Linked DNA regions of Caenorhabditis elegans. The protein of the gene in region 2 interacts with the protein of the main gene of each other region in a pairwise test. Each region holds a gene or a part of one and is shown on either strand. Other genes may lie near its edges.

The links.
Region 1: the proteins of npr-21 (region 2) and djr-1.1 interact in a two-hybrid assay, tested with the Caenorhabditis elegans proteins (one large-scale study listed by BioGRID).
Region 3: the proteins of npr-21 (region 2) and C18A11.1 interact in a two-hybrid assay, tested with the Caenorhabditis elegans proteins (one large-scale study listed by BioGRID).

What each region holds. Positions count from the first base shown.
Region 1 is NC_003280.10:287,344-293,632, reverse strand, and holds djr-1.1 (Glutathione-independent glyoxalase DJR-1.1), read right to left. Parts: upstream 3,052-6,289; 5' UTR 3,025-3,051; coding exon 2,893-3,024; intron 2,700-2,892; coding exon 2,426-2,699; intron 2,060-2,425; coding exon 1,902-2,059; 3' UTR 1,784-1,901; downstream 1-1,783. Other genes in the region: mrpl-41 (Large ribosomal subunit protein mL41), read right to left, coding at 3,328-3,427, 3,532-3,657, 3,763-3,870, 4,486-4,694; misc-1 (Mitochondrial 2-oxoglutarate/malate carrier protein), read right to left, coding at 5,160-5,318, 5,438-5,754.
Region 2 is NC_003284.9:17,154,884-17,161,239, forward strand, and holds npr-21 (G-protein coupled receptors family 1 profile domain-containing protein), read right to left. Parts: upstream 3,086-6,356; 5' UTR 3,075-3,085; coding exon 2,987-3,074; intron 2,397-2,986; coding exon 2,317-2,396; intron 2,266-2,316; coding exon 2,113-2,265; intron 2,061-2,112; coding exon 1,955-2,060; intron 1,903-1,954; coding exon 1,826-1,902; intron 1,589-1,825; coding exon 1,512-1,588; intron 1,460-1,511; coding exon 1,294-1,459; intron 868-1,293; coding exon 771-867; intron 757-770; exon of another isoform or gene 711-756; coding exon 562-710; intron 508-561; coding exon 412-507; 3' UTR 205-411; downstream 1-204.
Region 3 is NC_003284.9:8,066,692-8,072,588, reverse strand, and holds C18A11.1 (Activator of Hsp90 ATPase homolog 1-like protein), read right to left. Parts: upstream 3,262-5,897; 5' UTR 2,933-3,261; coding exon 2,891-2,932; intron 2,754-2,890; coding exon 2,584-2,753; intron 2,539-2,583; coding exon 2,391-2,538; 3' UTR 2,300-2,390; downstream 1-2,299. Other genes in the region: nssp-82 (Neuropeptide-Like Protein), read right to left, coding at 4,566-4,661, 4,722-4,778, 4,827-4,901.

The DNA.
Region 1 (6,289 bases), on a different chromosome or scaffold from region 2:
TAGTTAGGCTTAGAGGGTGAAAAAATTTCAGTTGTATGTAATAAGAGGCTTCAAGCATGCGACAGTGCTTTAGTTTACTCGGATATGAAGATTGTGCAAAATTGTCCAAAATTTATTGAAAAGTTTTATTCTGACATCAGGTCATTTAAGCACTTATTTCCCTAGGCATGAGTGTGTGCGAAGAAAATTTATTCAACGGTAACTATCTATAGTTTCAACCATCTTCCGAGTTTGAACTGATCTTTATACCTCCAGAGAAATCAACAATGATCGCACAAAATGAATTTATAAAATAATGTAACATCTCGCTTTGTTTTCGACAATAATCGAGCTCAGTTCTTGAGATCAATGCTAATTGAAGAAAATTAAAGTGATCAGGTTTTTTCTGGAGGATAAAGTTCAGTTTGAATAAACTAAACCATTTTTCTCTTGAAATCTTGCAGTTCTTTTTTATCTCAGTCAGAAATTCTTAACTTACGGTTCCTATTATAAAATTTAAAAAAAAACAGGGTTTAGTGAATAAAAGAAATGTATACATGCACAGGCAAGATGTCGGTGGAGGTAACCTTAACGGTAGAGCACGTGGTGTCAGGCTGTCCGATCACTGTTTACAAAAAATGTTTACAAAAAATCTACAAAAAATGTGGGAATTGTTCGCCCCAAAAAAAATGTGACGTCAGCACGTTCTTAACTATGCGAAATCAGTTGAGAACTCTGCGTCTAAACTCCCGCATTTTTTGTAGATCTACGTAGATCAAGCCTTTTTGGGCCTACTAGGATATTTTAAATGATAGAAAATGAACCGTAATGGCCAAGCACAATTACGATAAATTGTATCGAAGATTTGTCAAAGACGGAAGTATGATGATTCTTTAAACAAAAAATCCTGATATCTTCTGGCATTCAATCAACCACTTTTCGTGTGGAAATTCAAAAAATCAAAATCAGAACAATCAAAAATACAAAAAATGTCATGTTTCTCGGACTTGCAACATCTCTGACGTGACAGAATCCGGAAAAAAATCATCGCTTTTTCTGAAAATTGGAAAAAAAGACCACAAAAGAGAGTCAGAAGCCGATTATCAAGGTCAGAATGCGTCAGGATCTGAAAATAGAGAGTCCAAGACGGTCAATTTCGGCACTGGAGGTAACTCCGGGCTTCTGGGGGCTCAAGGCTTAGTTAGTTCTCTGGTTCAGGACTTGATTCACTAGCTAGGCTTTGGCTTTGGTTTAGGACTAGACTTAGGCTTAGGCTTTGGTTTAGGATTAGACTTAGGCTTAGACTCAGGCTTATGTTTAGGCTATGCTTAGTTTTAGGCTAGTCTTAGGCTAGGCTTAGGCTTAGGCTTAGGGTTATGCTTAGGCTTAGGTTTAGGCTAGGCTCACGCTTAGGCTTATATTTTGGATAGACTTAGGCTTCAGCTTTGGCTTAGGCTAGGCTTACGCTTAGGCTTAGGTTTAGGAATAGGCTAGACTTGGCCTTAAGCATTGGCTTTGGCTTAGGTTCAGGCTGTGGCTTAGGCTAGGCTAAGGCTTACTTTGTTAGGCTTATGTTTAGGATAGGCTTAGGCTTACACGTCTTACACTTAAGTTTAGGAAATAATATAAATTCGCAAGAAAAATGAGAAAAAAGGAAAAATCAAAGTTTCGTGAGGGAAATAACCGCGGAAGTCATTTTAAGTTGCTCGCGCGCGCGCTCTGTTGATTAAGCTCATCAGAGTATGTCCTCGTTACTCGGGTGACTGCTGTCATTGGATAAACAAATTTGTAGTTTTCTCGGAGCTTTCTAGATTTTTTATTTAAAAAAGAAATGTATAATTTATAGGTGTGGGAAAAACGTGAAATTGTGACGAATATACAATAAACCAAGAGGAAATTCAGCGAAAAAAAAACGGGAAGAATTAGAGCTTCAGGAGCATCGGAGCAATAAGGCTGGTGGCCTTGTCCTTTCCCTCAAGCAGCTCCACAATTTTCAGCGCAAATTCGAAGGCAGTTCCGGGTCCACGAGAGGTGATGATTTTGCCACTGACAACAACACGATCCTCCGAGTACTTGTAGCCTGGAAATCACAAGTTTTTCGGGGAGAAATGAAAATTTGGGCATAGCTTCCGCATCCCCAGTGACAAATGTGCTCTATTCCACCGAATTGTTGGTTGGAATACGGTATTTATTGCATGTTTCAGCCGAGAATACCGATATTCATACCATCAATTTGGATAGAAACACATAAGTCATGAAAGTTATAGGATCTCACTAAGTGGCCGCGGAAAATTCGGTGGCCGAGTTTTTTCCAGGCCACGTTGCAAGTGAAAAATTCGCTAGTTTTGCCTAATGTAGATTTTTTTAATGAATAGTTAAGGCTCCCCTATGAAATTGTTCGATTTTTAGCGACTTTTCACCAAAAAAAGTGCAAAACCAGCTGTACCTCCTTTCTCGAGTTTCTCCTTAACACTTGGATGACTTGTCACAAGTTCTGCCTTGACTCCATGGCTCAAGAGTGCAATTGGAGCTGCACAAATTGCTCCAATCAGCCCACCAGACTCTACTTGGCTCTTGAGAACATCGCGGACAAGTAGGCTTTCAGCCAACGTGTTGCTGCCCGGTTGGCCGCCTGGAAGAATCACAATATCGAATTTTTCGGTTTCCACGTCTTCGAGTTTGACGTCTGGCACGATGTGGGCTCCGCGAGCACATTTTACCTGGAAAATGTGAATATTTATGATTTTTGACTGGTTTCGAAAAGAAAAATTATTTGAAATTTCTGAATTTTTCTCAAATTTAAACATATTTTGGGGTTAAAATACCTCAATTATTGATTTTTTTTTTTGGGATTTCGGAATTTTTAATTTTTTAAATTCTAGATTTTTTACAATTTTCTGCTAATTCCCGTACCGGTTCGGCTCCATCTAATCCGGCATAAACCACACGAATTTCACCACGAGCAAGTACATCTCCAGTGATAATGACCTCCATTTCCTCAGCTCCTTCGGCCGCCAATATGATTAAAGCCGATTTTTGAGCCATTTTTCAAAGTTGCTCAGTTGAAAAATTCTGAAAAAGGGAAAAAAACTCAAAAGTAAGTTTTAAAAATTAAAATTTTTTGGTTTTTGACGTTTTTTTTTAAGTTTATGTTTAGGAGATTAGTCAATTTCTTGGTTTTTGACTTCAAATCTGAAAATTTTAAATATAAAAAAGGGGAAACAACTCGAATTTTGAGGAAAAAATACAGAAAAAAAAGGGAAATTTTTTTTTCAACAAAAACAAAAAATATAACAGAAAAATCGCTATAAAATATGAAAAATCTATGAAAAAAAAATCGATTTAACATTATTTATTTCCATATTTTCCCTCCTTGTATGCACTTCGGACAGTGTCGCCGTACGCCAATTCGAACAATGTTTCAGCTGACATTTTCGGTGGTGGCCATCTGGAAAATTTAATTTTTTTTTCAATTTTTTGGGCAAAAAATCTACAAAACTGCTTTTTTTCAGGTAATTTCAAATAAAAAAAATCAGAAATTTTTAGTTTTACCTCTCATCCTCAACAGTATGTAAATCAGCCAATCGTTCGGATCCTTTTTCCAAAACTTTCTTCTCATACGCAACTCGTCGCTTTTCGATTTGAACATCTGTACGGTAGGAGACGTAGGGCCGAAGTCTGAAAACTTGAAACTGAACTTGAAAATTCAAAAAAAAAAGTCAATTTTCATGGGTTTTACCCATATTTCGTGAATTTTTCATTTGAAAATCCCTTAAATCGTACTTGAAACCATCCAAATTCGGTACAACAAGCTCTGATCGCATCTCTTTCACCGGTACAAACTCTCCAGTCTTTTCGTCGTGAAATCCGTCCGCCTGGACTCCGGTGTACCTGGAAAATTAAAATTTTAGAAAATAATCGAGGATGGGCCTGCTACAAACTAGACTACAAACTACAAATACCGATTTAGCAGACCCGAGTGATATTGAAGAAATTTGGTCTGCTAGACTACAAACTACACATTTCGATTTAGCAGACCAATATAAAAATTGCCTGTTTTCAGCTTAAAATTTAGATTTTTGATTCTTTTTTTTTTTGGAATACAATGTTAATTCACTCAAAAATTTGATATTAGATCAATTTTCCCCGAAAGTTCCGATTTTTTCAGGATTTAATATGAAAATACGCACTTTTGTCTTAAAACACAAAAATTGCAAAACACTTGAATTTTTGCTAATTTCTATTTGAAAAAAATTCATTTTCCTACTGAAAAATTGAAAAATTCATCATTTTCTAATTTTTATTGCGAAAATTGAAAACTTTGGGTCTGCTACACTACAAACTACAAGTTGTCGTTTAGCAGACCCATTTTGTTTTGAAGAAATTTGGTCTGCTAGACTACAAACTACAATTTTCGATTTAGCAGACCCAAGTGGTCTGGATGAGAAATTTAAAAGTCTTAAAACGTTTGGGGTTAATATTGAAAAAAATTACAAAATTTCACACCTATGCAACTCTTTTGGATTCAATTTCTGAAATTTCGGAGAAAGTTCTGGAAATTCGCGATTCTGTCCGGGCCATTTGAATTTTTCGTAGTTCATTGGACCGATTTTCCTTTGTCCAAATGCTCCTTTCTTCACAAATGGCCATGGAGCCGGAAAATTGGTTGAATTGAGTGAACGGACTCCACGAGTGCTTACGAGCACCAGTTTCATCTGAAAAATTGGATTTTTTAATTGAAATTTTCGATTGTTTGCTTAAAAATATGGAAATTAAGAAAAAAGTCGATTTTTGAATGGTAATCTGGATTTTTCAAAATTAAAAATGAAAATATCGAGAAAAAATGGATTTTTGGCTGAAATAGCCCTGCCTGCAATACCTGAAAATAGAATTTTAAAAAATATAAGAAGCGGGAAAAAACCAAAAAAAAAAACAGAGAACAAACGTTTTGAAAATCATTAAAAATTGCATTTATATGCAGAAAAAAATACAAGAAAAAATTGGTATGAACACGAAAAACTGAAGAAAAAATACTGAATTTTCCTGGCTAAAACAAAATTTCTGGCCAAAATTTAAAATCTGAAAAGTGTACACAACACAACCTAAATAGCATAAAATTATGTTCAAAAAAAATAATAAAACTGTGATTTTTTGGTCGAAAAATAGCTGAAAAATCGATTCTACAAGGCACTGGTCACATCTCGCTTGAGCACATATTGGAAGTAGGCGGCATTCATTTGTTCCAAAATGATGAAAGTGAGCACGGTATGGGGTCCAAGACGCATGTAATATGGGGTAAAGCCCTTCCAGAGGGCGAAGATTCCTTCGTTTTTGATGACCTGGAAAATTTAAATTTTTGGTTTAAAATTTGGGGATATCCGAGTGAAAACCTACTTTTTAGCAAAAACGGGAAAATTAGATTTTCGAATTTTTACATTTTTTTAAAAGTTAAATTTACCTTTCCCCAAACATCAAAAGCATTCTTATATTCCGGTTTTCCATCAATAACTTTCATTGATTGAATTCTCGTTTTTGCAATATCGACAGGCATCGATGCAATTGTAGTTGCCAATCCACTGATCATTGATGCCAAAAAGTGGCAGAAAATGCCATCTTGAACCTTTCCAGAAGCCAAAAGTGCCTGTTTCGCCTGGGAATATGTGGCAAGTTGGGCGGCATTTACGACCATTGCTCGGAGTACTGTAGGTGTACATCCACGCCAAAGAGTTAGGACACCTTCTTCTTTTGTAATACGGGTAAGGGCATTGACGACTCCTGGAATGAGAAATTTTTATTAAAATTTCAATTTTTGAAATGAAAAATTTGGAATTTCCAACAATTTCCAACAAAATGCGATTTTTAAAACTTGGGTCTGTTAAATCGGAAATCGTAGATTGTAGCTTAGCAGACCAAATCTCTTCAAAATCACATTGGTCTGCTAATTCGAAATTTGTAGTTTGTAGTCTAGCAGACCATATCTCATCAAAATACATTGGTCTGCTAAATCGAAATTTGCAGTTTGTAGTCTAGCAGACCATATCTCATCAAAATACATTGGTCTGCTAAATCGAAATTTGTAGTTTGTAGTCTAGCAGACCAAATCTCTTCAAAACCACTTTGGTCTGCTAAATCGAAATTTGTAGTTTGCAGCCTAGCAGACCCAAACTCATCAAATAAAAATTAAGATTTTTGACGAAATCCGGTATTTTTTGTAAGAAATTTTCGATAAAAATGAGACATTATTGTAAAAACGGTAATTTTAAGTTTCTTGTGACGAAAATTAAATTTCAAATGAAATTTTCAAATGAAA
Region 2 (6,356 bases):
AACTGTTCAATTCAGCTAAAATCTTCAATATTTATGTTTGTATGTGGCACATGGCCGGAAATCAATGTTCATTTAATGATCATTGAAATTTTGACCTTTCTTAAAAAGTTTTAAAACATTTTTGAGAAATCCGATTGCATAATTTTGTAATTTGGGATTAATATAATTTACAAACTCTGTTTAAGCATGAAAACCCAAAAAATTGATTTTTTGACAAATTCATTATTGACAGAAACTATATCCATAATTACGTATATGTTACAAATTTGACAGGAGACTGTTGTGGAAAGAAACGGTGATAGCATTATAAAGTTTTGAAAATCATGGGTGAGATCACAAAAACAGAACGCAATATGTGTGAGAATGTGTGAATAAGTGGGATTAGAATTTTAAAGCATGTATGTACATTTGTTATGAGTGATTATGATATTCGTAACCCGTCTCCAACTCCGAGTTTAACACCTTACGCCGCACTCGTGATGACTGCTCGATGTTGCTTTCACGCACCTGAAAGCTGAATCGAATAGAATGAAAATGTCTTGGCTGGAGAACATTCTTTACCTTTCCAAGATGAAATGTTTCTTTGATGCTTTGACGAAATCTTGTTGAAAGGAATGCGTAGAGGAATGGGTCGACGGCGGCATTAAAGAACAGAAGCAGGAAACTGATGGGTTGGAGTACACTTTGAAGGCAGTTCAAACATCTTGGCGCTGAAAAGTTTGATGTTTATGATCTTGGAACTTGGAGGTTCAGGTGGACGACGTGCTTACCCATCGGATCTCGCCAGACGGTCCACATAAAATATACATATCTCGGGAGTGAGAAGAACGCGAATGCCACGACGATTCCGACTGCCAAACGACCAACCTGAAGTGAAATTGAATGTCAGAAATATATCAACAAAATACTTTTTTGTTGAAAAATGTATGTTTATAAATTTTGTCGATTTTGTAGTTTGTAGTTTGATATTACTTCTGAAAATCTGGAGGCTTTCCTCACAGTGAATGACCCTTTTTTTTTCTGTCCCGTTAATAAATGTTCCAATTTTTGAACTGGTTTTAAACACATGTGCCTAGTCTTTTGATTTATACATGTACTTTTTTAAAAAGCAAGTTTCAAGCTAAATATCAAATGCTGCCCTATACCAAACTTTTGAATAATTCAACAAATTTCAATAACTTTTGGTTTTACCATATGGCTAAGTGTCATCTCTCAGAACTAAACGTTTGAGAAAAAGTGGTTCGACTTGGCACAAACAAACTGTGAACACATGTTCTGAATCTTTAAACAAACCTTTCTCCTCTTCTCCACTGACACACCGCCGGTTGAGGCTTCGGATCGCCAGCTTGATCTTGGCAAAAGCTTGTTGGCGGAGTGTTTCGTGATTGTTGCGGCCTTGCTCACCACGAGGCCGATGGTAGCGTAGATGCAAAGAAGGATTACTAGAGGGACGGCGTACCTGAAAAATTTTAAAAGTCAAAACAAAATATATATAGAGTTGACGAACGCACCAGACGATGAAGTTGATAGTGGCGACTAGCTTCAGGAGGTTGAATCCATAAATTTCCACATGACGTCTAGTGCAGATCTGGAAAAATCTTTATTTCGAGAAAAGGAACTTCTTGAACTAATTTGGTAATACTTCAACTAACAAAAGATCTTTAGAAAATTCTTTTAGAAAAAAAACAATGGCAAAGTTTGCATATTTAGCCATATTGTATCCAAGCGGTTTTAGAATTTTTTTTAAATAATAGTTTTTAGCCTGAATTTTTTCATACTCGGCTGTGGTTAACCTGTATGCAGGCAGGTAGGTGAAGTTACTTACTGTGTATGTCTCATTCCCGTCTGATATCTCTAAAAACTGGCTAGCCACTACATATGGGGTGTTCATAACTGCGCTAGCTGAAATTTAAGAAAACATTTCATTTCCACATTTCTTTTTAAGTCAGCTTACTTAGCCAAACAACAGCTGACGATGTGATGAGCACTTTTTGTGAAAATGCTCTTCGCACCCGCAATGGACGGAGCACCGCAATCAATCTTTCAACCGAGACCAGCACCTGAATATCAAAATGTTGCTTTTCAAAGATTCCCTACGTCATGATTGCCTACCAGAATTCCAGCCGACACATTTGGTATGAAGTGTAGTACGTAGATGTATGAATAACATAACACTTTGCCAAACGGCCACCGTCCATGTCCTTGGAATACAAAATTCACAGCGTTCTGGAGAACGCAGAAGATTCCGACAAAAAGGTCGGCAACCTAGAAATAGATTATTTTCAGAATAGGAGGTGAGTTTTGGAGGAGAGTTACCGTCAGATTTGCCAGAAAGAAGTTGGGCACACTTCGGACTCGTTTCTGCGAGAAGAAGACCAGCAGAATGATAAGATTTCCTGAAAGAATTTATGTTATAGCTTGATGGTAATTTTGTTCAAATTTGCCCATAGCTTAATTTCCTTTTTTAAAATAAATTGTTCAAGTTCTAATAGTTTGTCCTCTACCACTTACTATTAACTACGTACTTCTACCATATAATTTGAACCTAAATGTCGATTATCAGTTTAGTTTCACCAATTATTGCTCACTTCAATGTAATCTAATTATAGCCTACTGTTGATTCTGTCTTCTGATATATTGTCATCTGATATTGGATAACAAATCAAAAATGAATGTCATTGTTTGCTTGGTTGTGTGTTTGCCTAGCTACGAAAACCGTCCTAATGAGAAAATCAAATGAAATTTTGTCGCATTCACGAGTCTGAGTTAGAAGAAATTAGAAAAAAAAACAATTCGATTGTGAAGAAAAGGTGTGAAGCAGAAAATGATCTCTGGGTATGCCGGAGCATGCTTTAGGTTTAGAATGAATTTTGAAAGTGAACATCGAAAAACTTCGAAAAAAAACCATTAATATCTGCAATATTTAATATAATCATTGCAAAATATTTTCAGATATTAAAAATATGAACAAAGATCCTTGGCATACCGATTATAGTGGCCAGAAAGACAAAAAGGTAGGATACACAGAGCAAAAAGTGTACCACAGGATGATTAAGTGGGGAGTCGCTTTCCATTCGTTCTGAAAATATTCTGGTGAAAAAACATTGTAACAGTTTCTAAAAACGTAGAGCAGGTGAAAAGTTTTAAGTGTAAAGTTCGAATTCCAACCACACAAACAGAAATAACACTTTGAGAATAATTGAAAAATGTTGTGACGCAGGGGAGGAGCTAGAGCAACGAAAAAGAAGAATGAAAACGATACTGGATTTTCGGCCCTAAGATTTCAATGAATGATTAAAGATGTGAATGAGATGAAAAAAACGAGAATGAAATGAAAAAAGTTGCAAGACGAGACGGGCAGTTCAAAGAAGAACGCTTGAAGTGTTGTGAAAAGTTCACGAAACACATCTTCTTTTTGCCGTCTAATTTCCTCTTTTACTTTCCAAGTAAAGAAATTCGGGGGAATTCGGAAAAGAATTCGGAGAGAAAAGGAAGTCGGGAAGACACATAGATCAAGTGAATTTTTAAAAAAGCTCAAAGTATCCTAGGTTGACACCCACCACATCATTCTATGAATAGAAGAGCAGGTGGAAATGTTTCAGGGAATAGGAGGAAGAAGTTACGATGTCGTTCAGAGTTGACGATATGCACATAAAGTAGGCGGATGTCGAAAGGTGGAACTCAAAGATCGGAAGTGTACAAAAAGTCAAAAGTGAATAAGCTTTAAAGATAAAACTTGAAGTTGAATGCCAGCGGGATTTTGAAAAGGTTAGTCACCGTAAAATTAATAGTAACTTTCACACTTCATCGAAAAGTTATTTTTCGAATATAACAGGTACTCAAGTTGTAAATCGCGGACTTCCATCGGTGTCGGCTGCGCATTTAGCATAAAACCACACCCACGCAGGTTTACCCCCCAACTGTTGGTTATCTGAGAACATAGATTTAGCTACAAAGGATCACAGGGAATTGTCTGTTCAAGTTCAAATTTTCAAACTCAACCCAACAAAAGTGTTGAATGCTCAATTTTCACAAATTTGAACACATCCATTTTCGGAGTCAATTGCTCAGAAAATTTCTAAGTAATGATGCAACACGGTCCGACAACTACCGTGTTCCGCGCGGCGATGTTGAGAGCAACGCGAAACCTGGGAGTTGTTGGACTCAGACACGTTCGCATTTTTGGAAAATTCAGAGTACCAGAGCGAACATTTTAAACTAAAAGATACTATCCTTGAGCTCAAAGAAAATCTAAGAATTTAAGAAAAAAATTTTAATGAGGGCATTTTCCAAATTTACATATTTGCAAGTCAAACCAAATGGGAGAAAATTACAAGAAAAAAAAATAATATCACAAATTCAAAAAATTTCAAAATCTACAAAGAAAAATTGTTTTCTTCCAGCTCAAATCGCATAAATAATGACGTGAATTTCTATCCCAATTTTGCCAGTCATTACTAACCATTAGACACTTAATACGTGTGAGAACGCGCGCAAAAATGTTCATTTTCACGGGAATTGTTTTCTTGGAAATTTGTAAATCATTAAATGTGAATTTGAAATTTTAAACTAAATGTTTAATGTCGGAAAAATGTTTTTTTCGCAAATGATTAAAAAATTTATTTCGAAATTTTTGAATCAGGCTAGATGCTATGAACAGCCATTATCCTTTTGATTTATGATAAATTCTCAAAAAATCACACTCCAAAATATGAGAACTTTCGAAAAAAAATGGAGACGTGAATGAATTAGCACCTCCTGTTTTTGCCGAGCGTCTGCCTACAAAACCTGGCTTCTTCTTCCCGGTTGTCTAAGAATACCGAGTAATATATTTTGCTTTTCCGATGCTCAATTCAGTATGAATTCTATTACATCTACAACTCAGACATATTTCTGAAAACAAATTGTGGTTTGCAAAAGTAGGGAGCACGAAACTTTGAGCGAGTGCAATAATTGCCACTTCTTGGAAAAGACGGAGAACAAACTCACGGCTAATAGCAACAACAAATATGAATAATCAAATGAGAGAGTGAGATGACCAATGAAACTTCCCGGTAGACGTCTGATAGACATGGCAAAATACGAAACAGTGAGCAGAAACCAGTGTTAATATCCGGACCAGATACGTCATGGCACAAGTGGTAGAAAGGAACTATTAAAAGTCTTTATGTTTATATATCTAGCCTCATCCGGGGGTGTCTAGAAGAGGAGGGACTCTGTCGCCGACGATTGACAGACGTATGGAAAGAGGAAGTACATGACAAACTTGCAAGAAGTATACGGTTAATGTTATTAGACATAGTAAGATGGTGCTTTTGCTAACTTGAACTGCATTGCCATAAATTCGTAAATCTAAAAAATTGATGTTCAACCAAAAACGTGTGGCTGACATTTGATGGGTCCGGACTTACAGAAAACAACGTTTAACTTACTATCAGACTTTTGATGTTAAACTTTTTTACAAATAGAGGACTAAGGTGAATTAAGCAGCCCAGTTTTGTCTAACAAAACATTGTCAGTACGTATTGAAGCGGCTGACATATTACAATCTCATTTGTAACTCAAATTTTAATTTTCTAAAAGCAACTACAATGTATCAGAATTGAAAAAAAAAAAACAAACAGAACAGTTCAAAAGTGCGTGAAAGTTTTGGTAATTTGAACCAAGGCAAATGATGAGTAGGATATTTGAAATGTTGGTACAAATACTTTAATGGAACAAAGATGATGTTTTTGCAGGATTGGTGAATTAAAATGAAAATTTTGAATAACTAATGGTTTTTTGCTTTATTTGCTTTATTTTCGTTTTAGTTTATGTTTGGCAACTCATAAATTCGTTTAATATCCTTATTCGAAAAATTGTTTTATAGAACATTAGAAAAGTGACATGTTTGATATCAATTCAAAATTGCTGGGCAAAATTTGTAATAGTTATCAAAAGTTTTATGTTTTTTTTTGAAAATAGTGTGAACTCATTAGATCGAAAAAGTCTAGAGCTCAATTAAAAATTTAAGGTTCAACAGGGTCAGCATTTCGAAAAAAAATAATTGTTCTTTATACTTTGTCCGTTTTTTTCCTGCTCCCATTCATCCCTATCCCAGAAGTGTAGTTTTATTCAAAATGTCACACACGTAGCAAAAATAGATGAGTGGAAGAGGGAAGCGAGGAAGTGTGTTAACTTTATGGGGCCCCGTTTGCCAATTAAACCGAAAACGTGTGCAATTGAGGTTCTCGTGTTTCGGAAGAAGGGGCGAAACTGAGTAGAGAAAAGTGTCCGCACCACGAGCAAATAGAGACAGTTTGAATGTATAAATGGAAGAAAGGAAAGAGAAGAGACGGTCAAATGGACCGTACTGA
Region 3 (5,897 bases), 9.1 Mb from region 2:
GCTTGATTTGTGTTGACTCGATAAAACGTACATATGATGGGGCTGGTAGAAATAATATGATACATTTAAAGAGAAGTTTGGTTTGTATTATAAAATTTACACCTTTTATGATTTATTAATTAATGAGAGAAATGATTCAATTCTTATACAAGTGAATTGATAACTTATTTCATGGTCGACATGAAACAAATTTGTTCTGGAAAATTTAAACGGTAAGATTGAAAAATGTACAAAACAATGAAAATTGTTTTTAAGAAAATGGATATTTCTAAAACAATTGTTTTCTACTTTTCAACACTTTGTAACTTCCGGAGTGTTAAATCGTTGTCGTCCAAAACGATGAATTTCTATTTAGTTATTGACAAACTGATAATTGATATAATTGAAAATATAGAGAATTGATATTATAAGAATTGAGAACACTGTTTTGTGTACGAGTCAAAATGTTATGACGTAGATTGTATGTACCAACTAAACGACCAGCATAGTTGGTAGATCTCCAGCTCGCCATCTCCAGTTTTTATAGGCGATGGTCGGAAGGATTTATGTCACTATTGATTGGCCTCGAGGGAGGTTTACGAGGCTGAAACAATTGTAGTTTTTTTCCCCACAGCTGAACACACAATATTTTTCTGCATCAGAAATTGTCAGCTCCAAAACTGTTGTACAGGATCACCTGCTAAATAATTGTTTGAGGAGAAAACCTTTGAAGATTCTGTTGGCCGAGGTAGATAAAAAACAAATGCGGTATGTGTGGAGGAAAAGTGTTTAGCTGGAAACGGATTGAACAGAAACAAAAACATTTACTCACTACTGTGGAAAACGATGGTGCAAAGTTCTCATTTCTGGTTTTGAACAAATTTCTCGAAATGTATGGCCACAAATATGAAAAGGCCTTTTCCGAGTACATCTATCACTCAGAAAAGACTAGTCAGTATATGGCTTGGATTCGGGCCACTAACAACATTTGGATTTGTTGCACTGATGAAAAGCTCCTTTGTTGGGAGGGGATGAGTTCAACTCTCCCGCACGGGCAAATTTTTTAACGAATTTTTTCGCCAAAAAAAGGAAAGAAAAAAGACCAGAAAACCAAACAAACAATTTAGTCACAATCACAGATGATCTAGGATTTTCTCATCCTCCATGGCTCATGGCTCAGTCAGTTGGTAACTGCTTGAGCCGGTAAACCACATTTGATTATTTACTTCATAACTTCACTTTTGTTGTTTCGAAAATATATCTGATTACTTAATAAACCAAAAGCAACAAACTGTCTTTTTTGTTTTGCAGAGAAAAAACTTCATACCCTAGAAAAAATACGTGGTCCATGTACTGAATTTGGTGTCGGTGTGCTGAGTAGAAGTTACAAAGTAACAATGTCCCATTACAGTTAGCGCGCTGTATTAGTACGTATTTTTGTTGCGAAAGTCTGAGAAAAAACACTTCAAGGTAATTTTCTGACATATAACATTTTGATATATTATAGTTTTTATTACAAACAATAAAGCATTGTGAGGGATTGAAAAAAAAACGGGGGTTTTTTGTCTAGAGTAGTTATTTTTGCTTGCAATTTTTGCCAGTTATTTAACAAATAATTAAAATGCGCAATATTGGTTGTCTTGTGTGAGTTTTGACCATCACAGTGTTTACACGTAATGATTTTTAATTTTTTTTTTGATAATAGATTAATTTGTATTTCCACGTTCTCGTTTCATTCTCATTCTCATTTTTTATATGGCTTGGTTAAGTATCAAACAAATCTCTATCAACTTTTGCCTATTTCTAAGTGACATTCACAGAAGTGGCAAAACTTCTACAGTGCTCTAAACATCTGGACAAAGTTCGTGACAGTTGGCGAAAATTGGTAAAAGTTGGCAAAAGTTGGTTGAAAAATGGATAAAGTTGGTTAGAGAGCAGATAAAGTTGGTTGGAAAGTGGTTGATTCGTACGTATTCCCAGTTTTTTGAAATAGTGTTTTAATAAGACATTATTGAAAGAATTAGAAACGCATAGTTTAACATTTTCACCGACGGAGATAGGACAAAGAATGAAAGGAAAAACTGTTTTGAGGCAATTGGTAAGCTGATTAAACATTTATACAAAGCATACAATTAAATCGGTAATTATATTCTATTGGTTTCATTTACATAAAACGAAAATTGACGGTTAATGAAACTGTCGAAAATTGATAAGTTTGAAAATTGACGAAGACGACAATGCATAAATATCTTTTTTCGATTTACCTTTTTGTGAAAAGGAAAAATTTGGGTAGGACAGTTTCAATTTCATTTTGGTCGGATTTGAAACAATTTTTATTTAACTTTGGAATATTGGATGACAAAACATTTTATTACACAACTCATACATTTTTTACATTAACACAAAAAAATTCACTCAAAAACAATATTTTGGACTTTCAGCCACTTTCGAATTGCAGGCAAGAAATTGTCCAGTTCATGTACAGTGAATCCTTTTTTGAACGTTTCGCCGATGTCAATTTTTACATTGAAAAACTCTTCTGGGTGACTGCGAAAGTTGCTGAAAATTTGACTGTGAAAAAACAGTAGCATTGATTGAGTTTACCGTTTCATATCACATGCCCACCATGCACACAAATCTCCGGATCCCCAGTTTTTGACATAACTTTTAGCTTGACTTTGAATTTTCACTTGTTGGATTTTTTCGATGTCAATTTTCAAGCTTTGAGTTGTTGGAAAATAATACCATTTTATTTCCAAAGTTCCATTTGAAATCTGGAAATTATGAAAACTTTTTTTTTTTTTAATATTGAAATATGAAAATCAATTGATATTTTTAATTTCACAATTTGTCGTCTGTTTTTTTTTGATAATATTTTATTAGATCGATAAAAAAAAGTTTGTCTACTCACCTTGCACCACTCTTCCTCAAAATCGATCGGGGCTTTTGTCATTTTGCCAATACGTATGAACACAACCGATGAAATTGAAACGAATGACGAGACTAAAACGTATTTTATGTAGACAACCAGTCTATTTTGTTCTCGATAACGATGGTTCCGTATATTTTGTTCTTACTCGTGATGATGGGCAACCAATATGTTTACCTTTCGGTCAGAAAGTATTGCGAAATTTCCCGGGTTGAGAAAAAAAATTCGATAACAAAAGCAGTGAGTTTTGCTCCGCGGGGACAAAAGAAGTGTGGAGTTTGACTAAGATAAAGTGATATGCGGACATATGGAAAAGTGGTTTGCCTCATAGCGCTCTAATAACCAACTATAGTGTCTTTCTTTTTCTCTTATCAAAAAATTTTCTTAAAATACACGAATAATCATTTTGGCAGGTTTTGATAATATATTGCGGTTTGTGTGCGGGTTTTGCTTTGTTTAAAATAAATTATTAGAAAACGACAAAAATTTGGAAAAAAATCCGTCCAAAAAAGTTTTTTTTTGATTGGTCGTCAAAAAAAATGCAAAAAAAATTTTGTCGAAAATTCTAGATTTTTCCTACAGAAATGATGTACCCAAGTGTAAACTATTTTTACACATATAAATCATTTGAGTTTGAAATTTGAATCTCAAGAAATATTCAAAAAACTAAAAAATTATCCGAAAAAAATATATTTTCTATTTGGACGGATTTTTTTCCAAACTTTTGACGTTTTCTAATAATGTATTCTTAACAAAGCAAAACCCGCAAACAAACCTCAATTCAAAGCTGAAAAGAAGCGAGATCAGAAAAATGCCTGAAAAAAATTTTATATATTAATATATATATAACGTTCAGTTTTTTATTATTTAATCGACCAACGTGACTACTCGGCAAATTGCTCCTCCTGAAGCGCGACTAGATTACTGGTTCACGCTCCAATGACACGTGTTTTCTAGCTTCTTCCGCGCCAAGTTTGCGCTCTGATCGCGTTCTATCCGCGCGCACAGAATTTTTTAAAGACATTTTACAAATTTGGAATGCGCGCGGAGCAGACGCGATCAGTCTATGGGTAATCAAGTACTCTAGTCCCTAGTTGAAAAATTTAGCTATGGTTTAACAAGGGTAATCGTTCAACACAAAACAAACAATCAACAAAAAACTTCGTTGCATTTTCAATGTTCTCAGCCTGAAAGTTTTTTCTTCAAAGCACCAGAATTTAGAAAAGTCTTGTCTACATATATTTGTTCTTTGGCTTAACGTATTGGGTGGTATGACCTGATTATTATGAAAATGTTATGCATGACCTCTTTTTCAAAGGAAAATGATCTCCTTCAAATACCACATCCTAGTTTTCTCTTTAGTTTAGTTCCTCCAATTAGTGTTTTTACCAACTTTAAAAGTGACTTGGACCAGATCACGTTTCTCGACATTTTTAATGACCTTCTGAATTATTCTATTCGAATAAAGAGCCACCGTTGCAGACCAGCGAGTTCGGAAGTTGCAGTGTGCAAAAATGTAATTTCCTTTTCAACTATATATAAATTAATTCAATATGTTCAGTCTTGTTTAAAAAAACAAAAAACACATAACAACTTTTTATTTTCACTGACAAACGAACGGGAAAACGTAAGATCTTGAGAAACGAATGAATAAAATTTATTCCTCATCGAAGCGTTTGCGCCATGAACCGAAAAAAAGTGGTCGAGAGGAGCCGCTTTCAGCAAACGCCGACACTGGACCGTAGCCTTGAATCTGAAAATTGTGACTCTGTAAAAACTGCAGCTGAAAACTAACAGTAAATCATCTACCAACCTGTCTGGAGCGTTGGGAAGTTCTCCAGGATGGTTGATTGAAGGAAACTGAGTGAAACTGAAAATTGTGAATTTAGCTTTCATTTCAACACTAATTATGTTTTACCTTGACCACCTTTGTGGTAGTTTCAACTACCAAAACACACAAGAAAAAAGCGAGAAGAAGTTTGACGTTGAACATGACGGCGATGCGGCTCTACAAATGGGGTTTGATGTTTTTAACCTTATACAACTCGGCAAGAAAGTAGTGAGCCGGAAAATAAAATGACCAATAGAACAAGTATTTCTCGGGAAATAGAATGGGTTCTCCAGTTTTCAAGTAGGTGTGCAAAGTGGCACATAGGGTGGAAATAAGAAGGAAAATGATATCATGTGGGTGGATGGTGCATCGAATAATATCCATTGTTCTGTTTTTTACGCACAAAATACATATTATCTGATTAGAATACCATAAATAAAAAATCATGTCCCACAAGCTATTCATATGTTTTAAAAAATTATTTTAAGTTTTTAAAGCATTTTTACCGAAAAAAACATATCAACTTGCTCAATATTCGCAAAATTAAGCGACCAGGTAAGGAATAGAAAGTGGATGAGTAGAAAATGGCTGACATCTTCTTCTACTTCTATTGGCACCACGACTTCCAAAAAACTCTGGAAAAGCCATTAGTGCGATTGAGCAACCAAAAAAAAACTTGACGTGTCCACGTGCATGCCTATGCACACATAGTGAGATATGCTAGTTGAATTGGTCAACTAAAATTAAGAATTTTAAAGCAGGCAAGCACTTTGGTGGACTTTGTCAAGTGACGTTTGGGGTTGGACAACGGAAATTCATGGATATTTCAATACGTGTCATTTATTTTCAATGGCCCAGCGATTTTCGATATTTCAAAAGTTCACCTACGTATAAAAACAACCATTGAAGATTTATGAACTGCAATTTCTTAAATGAGAAGTTCGGGGAAATATTTTGAACGATGTCTACAGGAAAACAAAATTCAAGTGTGCATGAAATTGGGAAAAACGAGAATTTATAGTTTTGGAGAAATTTGGCTCCGAGTCAGTAACATGAGAGCGCCCACAAGGTAATTTGCATTAAAATGTGTTTGGATGAGTATTCAGATAATTTTTGTTGTTTTTCTAGTCACAACGCCCACTTTTGTTGGCTTACATG